Linked DNA regions of Bombyx mori. The protein of the gene in region 2 purifies or fractionates together with the protein of the main gene of each other region. This does not show direct contact. Links are inferred from orthologs where the notes say so. Each region holds a gene or a part of one and is shown on either strand. Other genes may lie near its edges.

The links. The genes of interacting proteins can lie anywhere in the genome.
Region 1: the proteins of VIG (region 2) and RNA-binding protein FXR1 purify together in Drosophila melanogaster (affinity purification with western blotting; 4 studies listed by BioGRID, with this or other methods). This does not show direct contact. The link is inferred for Bombyx mori from reciprocal best matches to the Drosophila melanogaster genes vig and Fmr1.
Region 3: the proteins of VIG (region 2) and Ago2 purify together in Drosophila melanogaster (affinity purification with western blotting; 3 studies listed by BioGRID, with this or other methods). This does not show direct contact. The link is inferred for Bombyx mori from reciprocal best matches to the Drosophila melanogaster genes vig and AGO2.

The regions. Positions count from the first base shown.
Region 1 is NC_085112.1:15,603,504-15,607,003, forward strand, and holds part of RNA-binding protein FXR1, read right to left. Parts: intron 3,239-3,500; coding exon 3,071-3,238; intron 1,146-3,070; coding exon 1,059-1,145; intron 1-1,058. UniProt on the Drosophila melanogaster protein: Polyribosome-associated RNA-binding protein that plays a role in neuronal development and synaptic plasticity through the regulation of protein synthesis of mRNAs.
Region 2 is NC_085116.1:3,010,764-3,013,872, forward strand, and holds VIG (plasminogen activator inhibitor 1 RNA-binding protein-like), read left to right. Parts: upstream 1-1,339; coding exon 1,340-2,509; 3' UTR 2,510-2,609; downstream 2,610-3,109.
Region 3 is NC_085118.1:6,279,253-6,282,752, forward strand, and holds part of Ago2 (argonaute 2), read right to left. Parts: intron 2,974-3,500; coding exon 2,859-2,973; intron 1,500-2,858; coding exon 1,332-1,499; intron 631-1,331; coding exon 523-630; intron 40-522; coding exon 1-39. UniProt on the Drosophila melanogaster protein: Essential for RNA interference (RNAi); double-stranded RNA induces potent and specific gene silencing.

The DNA of each region.
Region 1 (3,500 bases), on a different chromosome or scaffold from region 2:
GTGTGCAGTTAGTCAAACTTTCAATTTTTATATTATCCTGTAATTTCATTTTTATTGTGTACCACAAACATACTGAGGAGATGTTAAAAACAAATACACACAAGCTCGAAGTTAGAAATATTTTAAAATAAAATTCAGAAAGAACTTGAGCATTTGGCCTTTCGGATATTAATTACCATTATTACCAAATAGACCAAGAAATCAACCAAATGGTGGTCCTACATGACACACCAGTGTAAAATTCTAACCAGCAGAAATTATAAAATAATCATTACTTGTTCTAAAGCCAAGAAATTAAATTGAGAAAAATTTCTACTGCAATCCTTTGTCCTTTGTCAATCCTTTGGAATATTATAAAAACAACTAATGAAAAAATATATAATTGACTTAGCAAATTTCTTAGTATTTATTTTGCACAAATTGTGCTTTGCAATTTAGTTAAAGTATATTAATTAATTCCAGAGAAATATTACAATTATATAGTTATATTTGAATATTCAAAGCGCCAGATGTCAAGGAAAATAAAACATCCTTACACAACCTTTTGTTTAACTCAGTTTTGTTCAAAAATAATAATTTAAATATTGTTAATTAATTAATAAAGGTGAATGTGTCAACAGTCAGTAATCAAAGTGTTGTGGTTGTGTAGTCATTTTTTGCATTTGTGCGTACTTTGATCGTGTACTCATGTAGAGAATTAAGAGGAGAGTAAAAAATGTGGAGAGCCTAATACTACCGTCTCGGCACAATCTAAAGGGCCGGCGGTCCTGGGGGCTCCAGATAATGTTAGCACCAGTTTTGTTCAACCATTAAACTTATATTGAGATAAGCCTGAGTCTATTGGTTCAACAAAACAGGACCACAAGTCAACATTTCTGACTTGAGATCCTTGTTCAATGCTGAATATTGAATGTATCAGAAATATAATTAACTTGTTCTGGTTCCTACTTCACAGTAGGTTATTTAAACTGTTTGAAAGTATAATAGTTTCTCACTTTTTAAACAAAAACGATTTTTTCGAGAATCATAACGAGAGCACGTGTACAGTAGTGACTCACCCGCCCTGATTGTTTATTTTCGTAGATTCAAGCTGCCTCGCTGCCTCCTCTGTTTTCTTCAATAACATAAGTTTCTGGGTCAAATTTCTGAAAATTAAAATTTAATATTTTATTACTATATAAAACAAAACCATTTGGTTATTTTCTTGCATGTAACCAAACCATGACTACGATCCATGCCATATTAAATATTAGATTCAGTGAGTAGATATTCTCAGTCAGAATTTACGGTGCATTAAATTGTCTAATTTCCTTTTTGGTCCTAGGATTAATCCTTTTGGTCCTAGTCACTTTATGTATGTATCTACTGATTTACAATATTTTTTGTAATTTATAACTTCTTATATATGGAAGAAAGCAATACCTGTTTTTACAGATTAGTGTGTAACAGCATTCCATGACTATTTCAATCAAGAACATTGTGTAGCAGCTGTTACGGTCTACTTCAATTAGAAATTGTTAGATTTTGTTTTTGTAAGCGAAATGAATTTATCTGTTTATTCAAAACGTGGTAAATGCGATCAAAGATTTGAAACAATTCCCAATGAGCCGCCATCTTTGAGCAGTTGGATAAAATTCACATGACTTAGAGGAATGTGAAGAAAAAAGAAAGAAAAAGAAATATGCTACATCTATCAGCACATGCCTAGTTCCGAACCTGCGAACTATTGCGTGAAAAGTGAAAGGTATCGCTTCCACAACGCGCAATACATGTCCCACAATAAACTTTATTACTACTGCAATCAATTAAAACAAGACACGAGACACTAAATCTTAATATAAAATTTGGCAAGTACATGTATTTTTTTTTACAATTAGTTATGTGTCATATTCGGCTTCTAAGGATTGTACTAGTCGGTGTTTAATTACGAACATTGCCAATGTGAGGTTACAAGCTAACCTATTCCTATTGTAGATTTTAAGTCTCTTTATTATTTGGATATCCCGTTTATTTGGTTGTTGTGATGATCGTGACCTGATATGGAGTAGGTGGCCATATAGTTCAAACACATGAATATCAAGTGAAGTAACTAACCAATGTATGGTCAATATTTCTCAGCATTATCCCTATCCTTCAATAAGTCGGAGGAGGCTATGCATGGCCGGATAGATAATTCTGATGGTATATGTGGGTATCGCGAATTACGTTTAGAGATGTTAATATTTAAGATATTACCTATACATTGCTGAATAATTTAAACTGTTAGTATTACCAGTAACTGCCCTGTTGACTGATATCATTTCTATTATCTTACAGCTTGGTTGCAGATCTAGATTTGCTAATGGCCCTGAAGTATGGTGGTTACTCCCCATCAAGTACCTCAGCGGTCTCGAATAAAAAGAAATTTCAATCAAATAGTCAGATCGCTCAAGTACCCCAAATAGAGTTTATACAAAGTGCTCATCTATCGGCTAGGCTATAATTTCGACAGGCGGGAGAAACATCTTTTTTTATCTTACATAGACAAGTACAGTTGATCACAGTGGACGCCATGTTATAGAGCGACTGCGGTCCATAGATTTTATAACACAAATATCACATGTAGTGATTGATAATAATAGTATCCATTTTCTTGCTTTAATCCTATATTACGTGACATCGTCGGAGCATGTCCTTTTATCGTGTGGCATGAGTTTTAAGACCGTCCACACTAATAAAGCTAGTAATGCTAGCATTTATAATTGAATATGAAATTTCGAAAAGGGCACATGTCGCATATTTTGTCAAATAGGTTTTTTCATATACATGTAGTTTTGAGGCTTACCTACACCCATTTTATAATAATTCCAGTAATTTTCAATTGCCAATTAACACTAAAATATGTCTCTAAAGTTAATATTTTAAATTTTACACTGCTTTAGAAAATAATCACTTTTTTTCATTTCCTGAACATTTTATATATTCAGAGATGTGCCCTTTTCGAAATAGCATATTCAACTGTAGTGTAGTGTAGTGTAGTGTAGTGGGGTGGGGTGGGGTGGGGTGGGGTGGGGTGGGGGTGTGGAGGTACCGGAAGTGCATCTCCTGCAGCATGGTGGCGCGGCGCTGCGAGGAGGCGCAGCGGGAGAGCACGGCGAGCACGGCGCGCTCGGGCACGTACCAGACGAGCGCGGCGCCGATCGCCTTCTGGAACTCCTTGTGCGCGTTCTCCACCTTCGCGCTGTGGATGTCGTGGAGGCTGCACACGTACACCATATAGTTACTGCCGACCCAACCTCAACATCAGCCATGCTTGTGTCCGACTAATTATTCACTCTTCCATTCAAAATCATTTTGATCTTACATATTATAGCACTCATGGTTAGGTAAAAATGAAAGTGTGAACCCCCAAAACAATTCCTCCCTGAAGTGTTCCATGCTATACAAGATATTAACAGAGCTAAAGTTTCTCCTTTACCTCAGAACTTCCACAAAGTATGAAACCTAGTCAAAATGATGTG
Region 2 (3,109 bases):
TAAAGCGAGAGTTGAAAATTCTTCAAGAAGATTCCCCAGTTCACGATGCACCATCTCTTTTGCAGACAACATGTGCTCTGGTTGGCGAAAGCCATTTCTGAGTGTTGGGTGCAGATATGTGGATATTTAGGTCACAGTCCTCATTTCGTACGCTAAAAGTCTACCAACCATATTGTGGTTATTGCACTGTAGTTTTTAAATGTAATGCACGGTAATTTGATTCTGAAAGACGGTTTTTTTTTATATTTGTAGCTTGTATATTTGATCTGGTAGCACTGGTATGAACTGTAAATGTAAAGCGTAAAAAACCGGTATTCTTAAATAAAAACCGGTATTTATCGGTATGTATAAAAACCGGTTTTTCTCCGGTTTTCTTCGAACCGGTTTACATCCCTACTACCTATAAATGAAATTAGCAAAGTTACGCTTTCAAGGCTACCAAGGCAAGTACATGATTATTAATAATAGCTTCAAACATTATCAATTTATCGGGAAAACAATTTGTGATGATTTATACATTGTTTGCAAATGCCTGTGGCGTTTAAGAACGCACATTTTTATGATGCGTAAGCCGGAACGCACGAGAGATGGGAAAAAGAATATAGTCTGTGAGACGGGACCTTTTTTACCACCAATTTAAAACGAAAATATAATTTATAATGTGTTTAATAACTAATGTAATATAATTACTTAGAATTGTTTATGCCGCTACAACAATAAAATTTCTATTGTTTCAACTGTGGTGTTAATTACATAAAACACGACTTTACGGCGAAATAAAGAAGGGACTCTATATGGATTCCCATATGCCTATTAGATTGATTATGCCTCCAGTTATCTTGTTAATATGGATGAGACAATTGTACAAATGAGACATACAAACAAAGGTGTATTGAAAAGTTTTTGCCCATTATTTATTTTTAAATTTTTTGTTCTCACAAAAACTAATCGAGGAACAAGCCGAGAATCTGAATCTTTAATTCAGAACGTGCATGGCTGCATGGGTATCAATTAATAACAGTTTAAACTGGAACAATGATTATTAGGTAGTATAAAATAGAAATGAAAAATAGGTATATTATTTGAAACAAATCCTTGATCGTTCGACTATAGTAGAATGTCATTTGTGCCAGTATAGACCATAGACAATTAAAAAGTTTTTCCACCATTTTGTTTCTTTACTCTATTCCTTTTCGTCATATGGCGTAGTAGTTGTTCGAATCGGTCCGCCATATTAAATGAAATCAATAAAATAAGACAAAATGTCGCCTTACTAGTGCGCGGAAAGTAATCCAATAACATCTAAATATTGTGTGATTAAATCATCAAGAGGATCACAATGGAGAATTCCTACGGTGTGGGAGTAGTGAACAGATACGCTCTTTTCTTGGACGATGAGACCGATCCTCTTGATGCGTTAAAAGCGCGAGAGCAGGCGAAGGAGCTCAAAAAGAAGACCAAAGAAGCCGAAAAAGAGAACAAAGGCAAGCCTGAACCCAAGCCCGCTAAAGGCGTAACCGTTCCCACCCGGAAGGGCATTAAGGAAACTCAAAATGTGAAGTCTCAAGACATCAAAAGTGGAGAACAACAGAAGGGTAAGGGACCTGCACGCCCGGTCGATCGTAATGTTGAGCGTCCGCCTCCGCGTCGTCGTGAAGATCGGCCGCAGAACGGTACCGCAGAAAACAAGGAAGGAGCTCCGCGGCCACCGAGACGCGAGTTCGGCGATCGTCGGCCTAACTTCAACGAGCGCCGCAATTTCAACGACAACAACCAGGACGGTGCAGAGCGTCGCGGTCCACCAAGACCACCGCGTGAGCCTCGTGAGGGACCGCGCGGGCCGCGTTCTTTTGACAATAGAGGCAAACGTGAGTTCGACCGAAGATCCGGCTCTGACAAAACCGGTGTGAAATCAGTCGACAAGAGGGAGGGCGCAGGTCCCCACAACTGGGGCACGATCAAGGACGATCTCGACGAGTTGAACAAAACCGGTTCTGAGGGTGAAACTACTGAAGAGAAGGCTCCTGAAGCCGGCGCTGGCGATGGACAAGTGCCTGAAACTGAACGTGCAGTGCCCGCTGAGGAAGAACCGCGTGAGTTGACACTCGATGAATACAAGGCTTTACGCAACGCGCAACGCACCGCTCCGCAGTACAATTTGAGGAAGGCAGGTGAGGGTGAAGACTTGAGCCAGTGGAAAAACCTGGTTCTGTTGGAACGCAAGAAGGAAGGTGACCGTGGTGATGATGAGGAAACTGACGAGGAATACGATCTGGCCGACTATCCACAGCGCGTGGGTCGCCAGAAGCGTTTGTTGGGCATTGAGTTCACATTTAGTGACGGTGCGAGGCGCGGCGGTGTGGGCGGGCGAGGCCGCGGACGGGGCCGGGGTCGCGGACGAGGAGTGCCGCGCGAGGAGCCGCCGGTCGTGGAGGAGCGCCCGGTACAGCGTCACCACGTGACGCCGCCGAAGGTCGACGACAGCAAGGATTTCCCCTCTCTCAGCTAGACTCGCAGTGAGTCTAGATTCTTCTCCCTTTCGAAGCTAGAGTTACAAATTATAATGTATGTACTGTTATTTTTGAAGTAAATATACAATATATTTACAAGAGTGTGTATTGTATTACATTGAAATCAGTCTACGTAGTTATTGGCTCTAAATTTTGTGAGTTGATTATAACTTGCAACGCTGCCTGGGGATTGACATGTTTCTGTGGAAAGGAGTAAAGGGGGAGGATTCGTCTTGTTTAAGTTTTATTTTTTGATACACATACTACTGCTACATACTTATTATTGTGGATTTATAACAATAGCTTTTATTATATTGTAATCACACCAGCTTTTCATTTTACTGGTTGAGTAATCGGTGATAATAAGATTTCAACCTTCAGACTGACGACAAGCTATGGATGAGTTTGAATCTACTCCGTCACAAGTTAGTATAGTATTTTGTGAAGAAATAACCCTTGCATTTTATATCATGAGTTTGTGTTGACAAATGCAGACTGGGAACTGTAAATAGTTATATTTTAAAGATAAGGTCAAAAAGAACAAGGTTAATATTTGTTGTTACACGAACTTCTTGAGTAAATAAACATTTTGTATGTGT
Region 3 (3,500 bases), on a different chromosome or scaffold from region 2:
CTCCAATGCCTGATTTATTCCCATAAGCTTCGAATTCACCTAAAATATATAACACAAGTGATTTAACTAAAATAATATTAGGTATATTAGATTTTCAAATATCTTATACCTAAATATTTCAGTAAGATTACAGGTATTGTTATGTAGATACAAGTATCGCCGACTATCATGAAATAGCAGAAACGGATATCAAAACAATTAGAACAATCAAGAACGTTCGAGAAATGCAATGCCATCTATTATCAAATAGCGAAAACGGATATCGGAGCGACTAATACTAGTGGTATTACGCGCATAGTAGTATTACGCGCATTAATATCAGTCTAATATACATAAAATTCCTAAAAGGCCAAGTGCCAAAAACAGACTTCACAGAGATTAGAAAAAGAGAGATTACCAAAAGAATCCGAACGACAATCATTCTGTACTAGTGTTAGTAGAACTCGTATTAGGCGTAGTAATATTAATAGAAGCGTCAGCCGAGTATTCTTATATTTACAGAATGAGCTATTTATTTATTACCTTTAGTAAAATGTTCCGAGCTGTTTGTGGGTTCATTCGGCGCGTGGCGGTATCTTCTTTGATACACTGCGTCAGTATACCCACTTTGAGTTCGGCAATCTGTTTCAGCTGCATTCAAAGATATCATACATTAATCAAAGTCAATCTTACCTTGATAGGTTTTGAGGGGACAGCCGTTATGCGCAATTGAGACTTAGACCTCATGTCTCAGGTGGGTGACGACATTCACATCTTAATATGTGTGGACTCCGATAACCATTTAATATCAGGTCTCGTGAAGTCGTTCACCCATTTATTTAGTGGAAAAATTGATTTCAATTTATTATTACAACAATAGGACGTTTTAGAAATCTTCTGCAAGTCCAATCAGAATATCTCCGATCCCACTGTTCAACTTTAATGACATACGCCTATTATAAGAACCAAGGCCACCAAAGATGCCAAATGATCATCACATTACTGCGACAGCTTAATAACGATTCGGTTTTATTATTATTATTGCTTAGGTTAATGAACAAGCTCACGGCCCAGCAGGTGTTAAGCGGTTACCGGAGCCCATAGATATCTACAACGTAAATACCGGAACCTACCTTGAGATCTGAGTTCTAAGATCTCAGTGTTTACAGTACCACGGCTGCCCCACCCTTCAAATCGAAACGCATTACTGCTTCCCGGCAAAAATAGGTATGGTGGTGGGACCCGTGCGGACTCTCAAGACGTCCTACGATCAGGCTTACAAAATATAAATAATTTTATCTGTGATCCATTGTTGGTTTTTTTTTAATTTGCAACTCTAATAACGTAGGTACCTTGTGATAATAATCGCGGCCCCGTCCAGAAACGACCACGACCAGGAAATTGACCTGTTTTTCTAGAGCGTGCAGCATACTCTTGTGCAGGTCATTTATACGGATGTTGAAGCAAGCCATCTTTGGTTGGGTCACGTTCATGCCCATTTGTCGACCGGTATTCATTAGCTGAAACATACACAAACGCGTTACCGTTAAGAATATGAAGTCGTCGTGGCCTAAAGAATGGGTCGTCCAGTGTATTCGTATCCAGAGCAACCTCCAACAGCGTTCCGTGAGCTCGTTCAACCGCATCAATCCTTTAATGGTCTATAGCGGACTTAAAACACTATCTTAGCTCCCCCAGTTTTAACCCGACGTTTCTTTGTACTATATTAACCAATACTAAGACGAAGCAAAGAAAAGATAAAGAAGTTTTTTTATGTAATATTTTATGTAATAAAGAGTCGTCGTGGCTTAAAGGATAAGACGTCCGATGCATTCGTGTTTAGCGATGCACCGGTGTTCGAATCTCAGGCGGGTACCAATTTTTCTAATGAAAGACTTACTTAACAAATGTTCACGATTGACTTCCACGGTGAAGGAATAACATCGTGTAATAAAAATCAAACCCGCAAAATTATAATTTGCGTAATTACTGGTGGTAGGATCTCTTGTGAGTCTGCACGGGTACCACCGCCCTGCCTATTTCTGCTGTGAAGCAATAATGTGTTTCGGTTTGAAGGGTGAGGCAGCCGTTGGTCCCACCCACCTTGGATCTTATGTCTCAAGGTGGGTAGGAGCATTTATATTGTAGGTGTCTATGGGCTCCAGAAACCACTTAACTCCAGATGGGCTGTGAGCTCGTCCACCCATCTAAGGAATAACAAAAAAATAGTATTTTGAATACATTACTACTTTGTATAGGCTAGTAGGATTGAATAGGCTGCGTGCATCCTTTCTAAATTATTAATTGCTAATTATATTTGGGGTGAACACAAAACAAAAACAAAATTTCTACAGTTGTAAAATAAAAAATGTTGTAAAGTAAAATAAAAATGAATTACATATTACTTTTTCTTAAGCATCTAATTTCTATCACAAATGGAACCAATATTCAAAGCTACATCTAAACAACATCTTGATTTCCGCGTATGAAAATAAATTATTGGGCTTCGTTCTTAGCTAGACTTACGGAACACATTAATATTGTTTATGGTTGTCTACGGTTTCACATTAAACACATTTTTTTTCTTTCTTTTATGTCATAATTTATAATAAACTAGCTGACCCGGCAGACTTCGTAGTACCTCAATCGATAAATAAAAGACAAAAGGAATCCGCCTGATAGGGGACACATCAAAGGACAAACAAAATTGTTATTTTTATTTAATTGCGACCATTTTCATATTTATATACCTTTTAAACCTTCTTTGGACTTCCACAAATAATTTAAGACCAAAAATAGCCAAATCGGTCCAGCCGTTCGAGTTTTAGCGAGACTAACGAACAGCAATTCATTTTTATATATATAGATAAGATAAAAACCTTCGACACGATGTCTTCATAATTACATCCACGTGGATCCAATTCTATGGCAATGAAGCCCCATGAATTCAGAGCTTCCGGTTTCAGAAGACAGTTGGCCTGCCATACTCCCTTCCTATAATTTAACCAACGCATTCGTATAACATTTCCTTGAAATGTTTGCTTACACTATTTTAATTGAGGCCGTCAGCGCAAAAGTGGCCTAACCCAAAATTTTTCATAATGTTTATAATTGTATATTGCAATTATTATTTTTATTTTTTATTTCTTAGCTGGTTGGATGATCTCACAGCCCACCTGGTATTTAAAATATAATAAATTTTGATGCAAAACCAGCCTATCCATAGTTTTACCCATTTTGTCAAACATGTAAACATTATTTTTGCGCGTATTGTTTTTTTGCCTACTCAAATTCAAATTCATGAAAACTTAAACCTCATTGCTCCATAATAACTATGGTAAGCTTAGGCCACTTTTGCGCTGACGGCCTCAACTAGACTCATATTCAAATAGAATTTCTGTACAGTGTAAAAACCTTTAACGTCACTTCAGTATATCGATACGCATATAATACTGTAAGTGTAGGATTCTGGACCTTATACGAGACACATAGGGAAGATCTCCTATGGAGTGGATTAACCG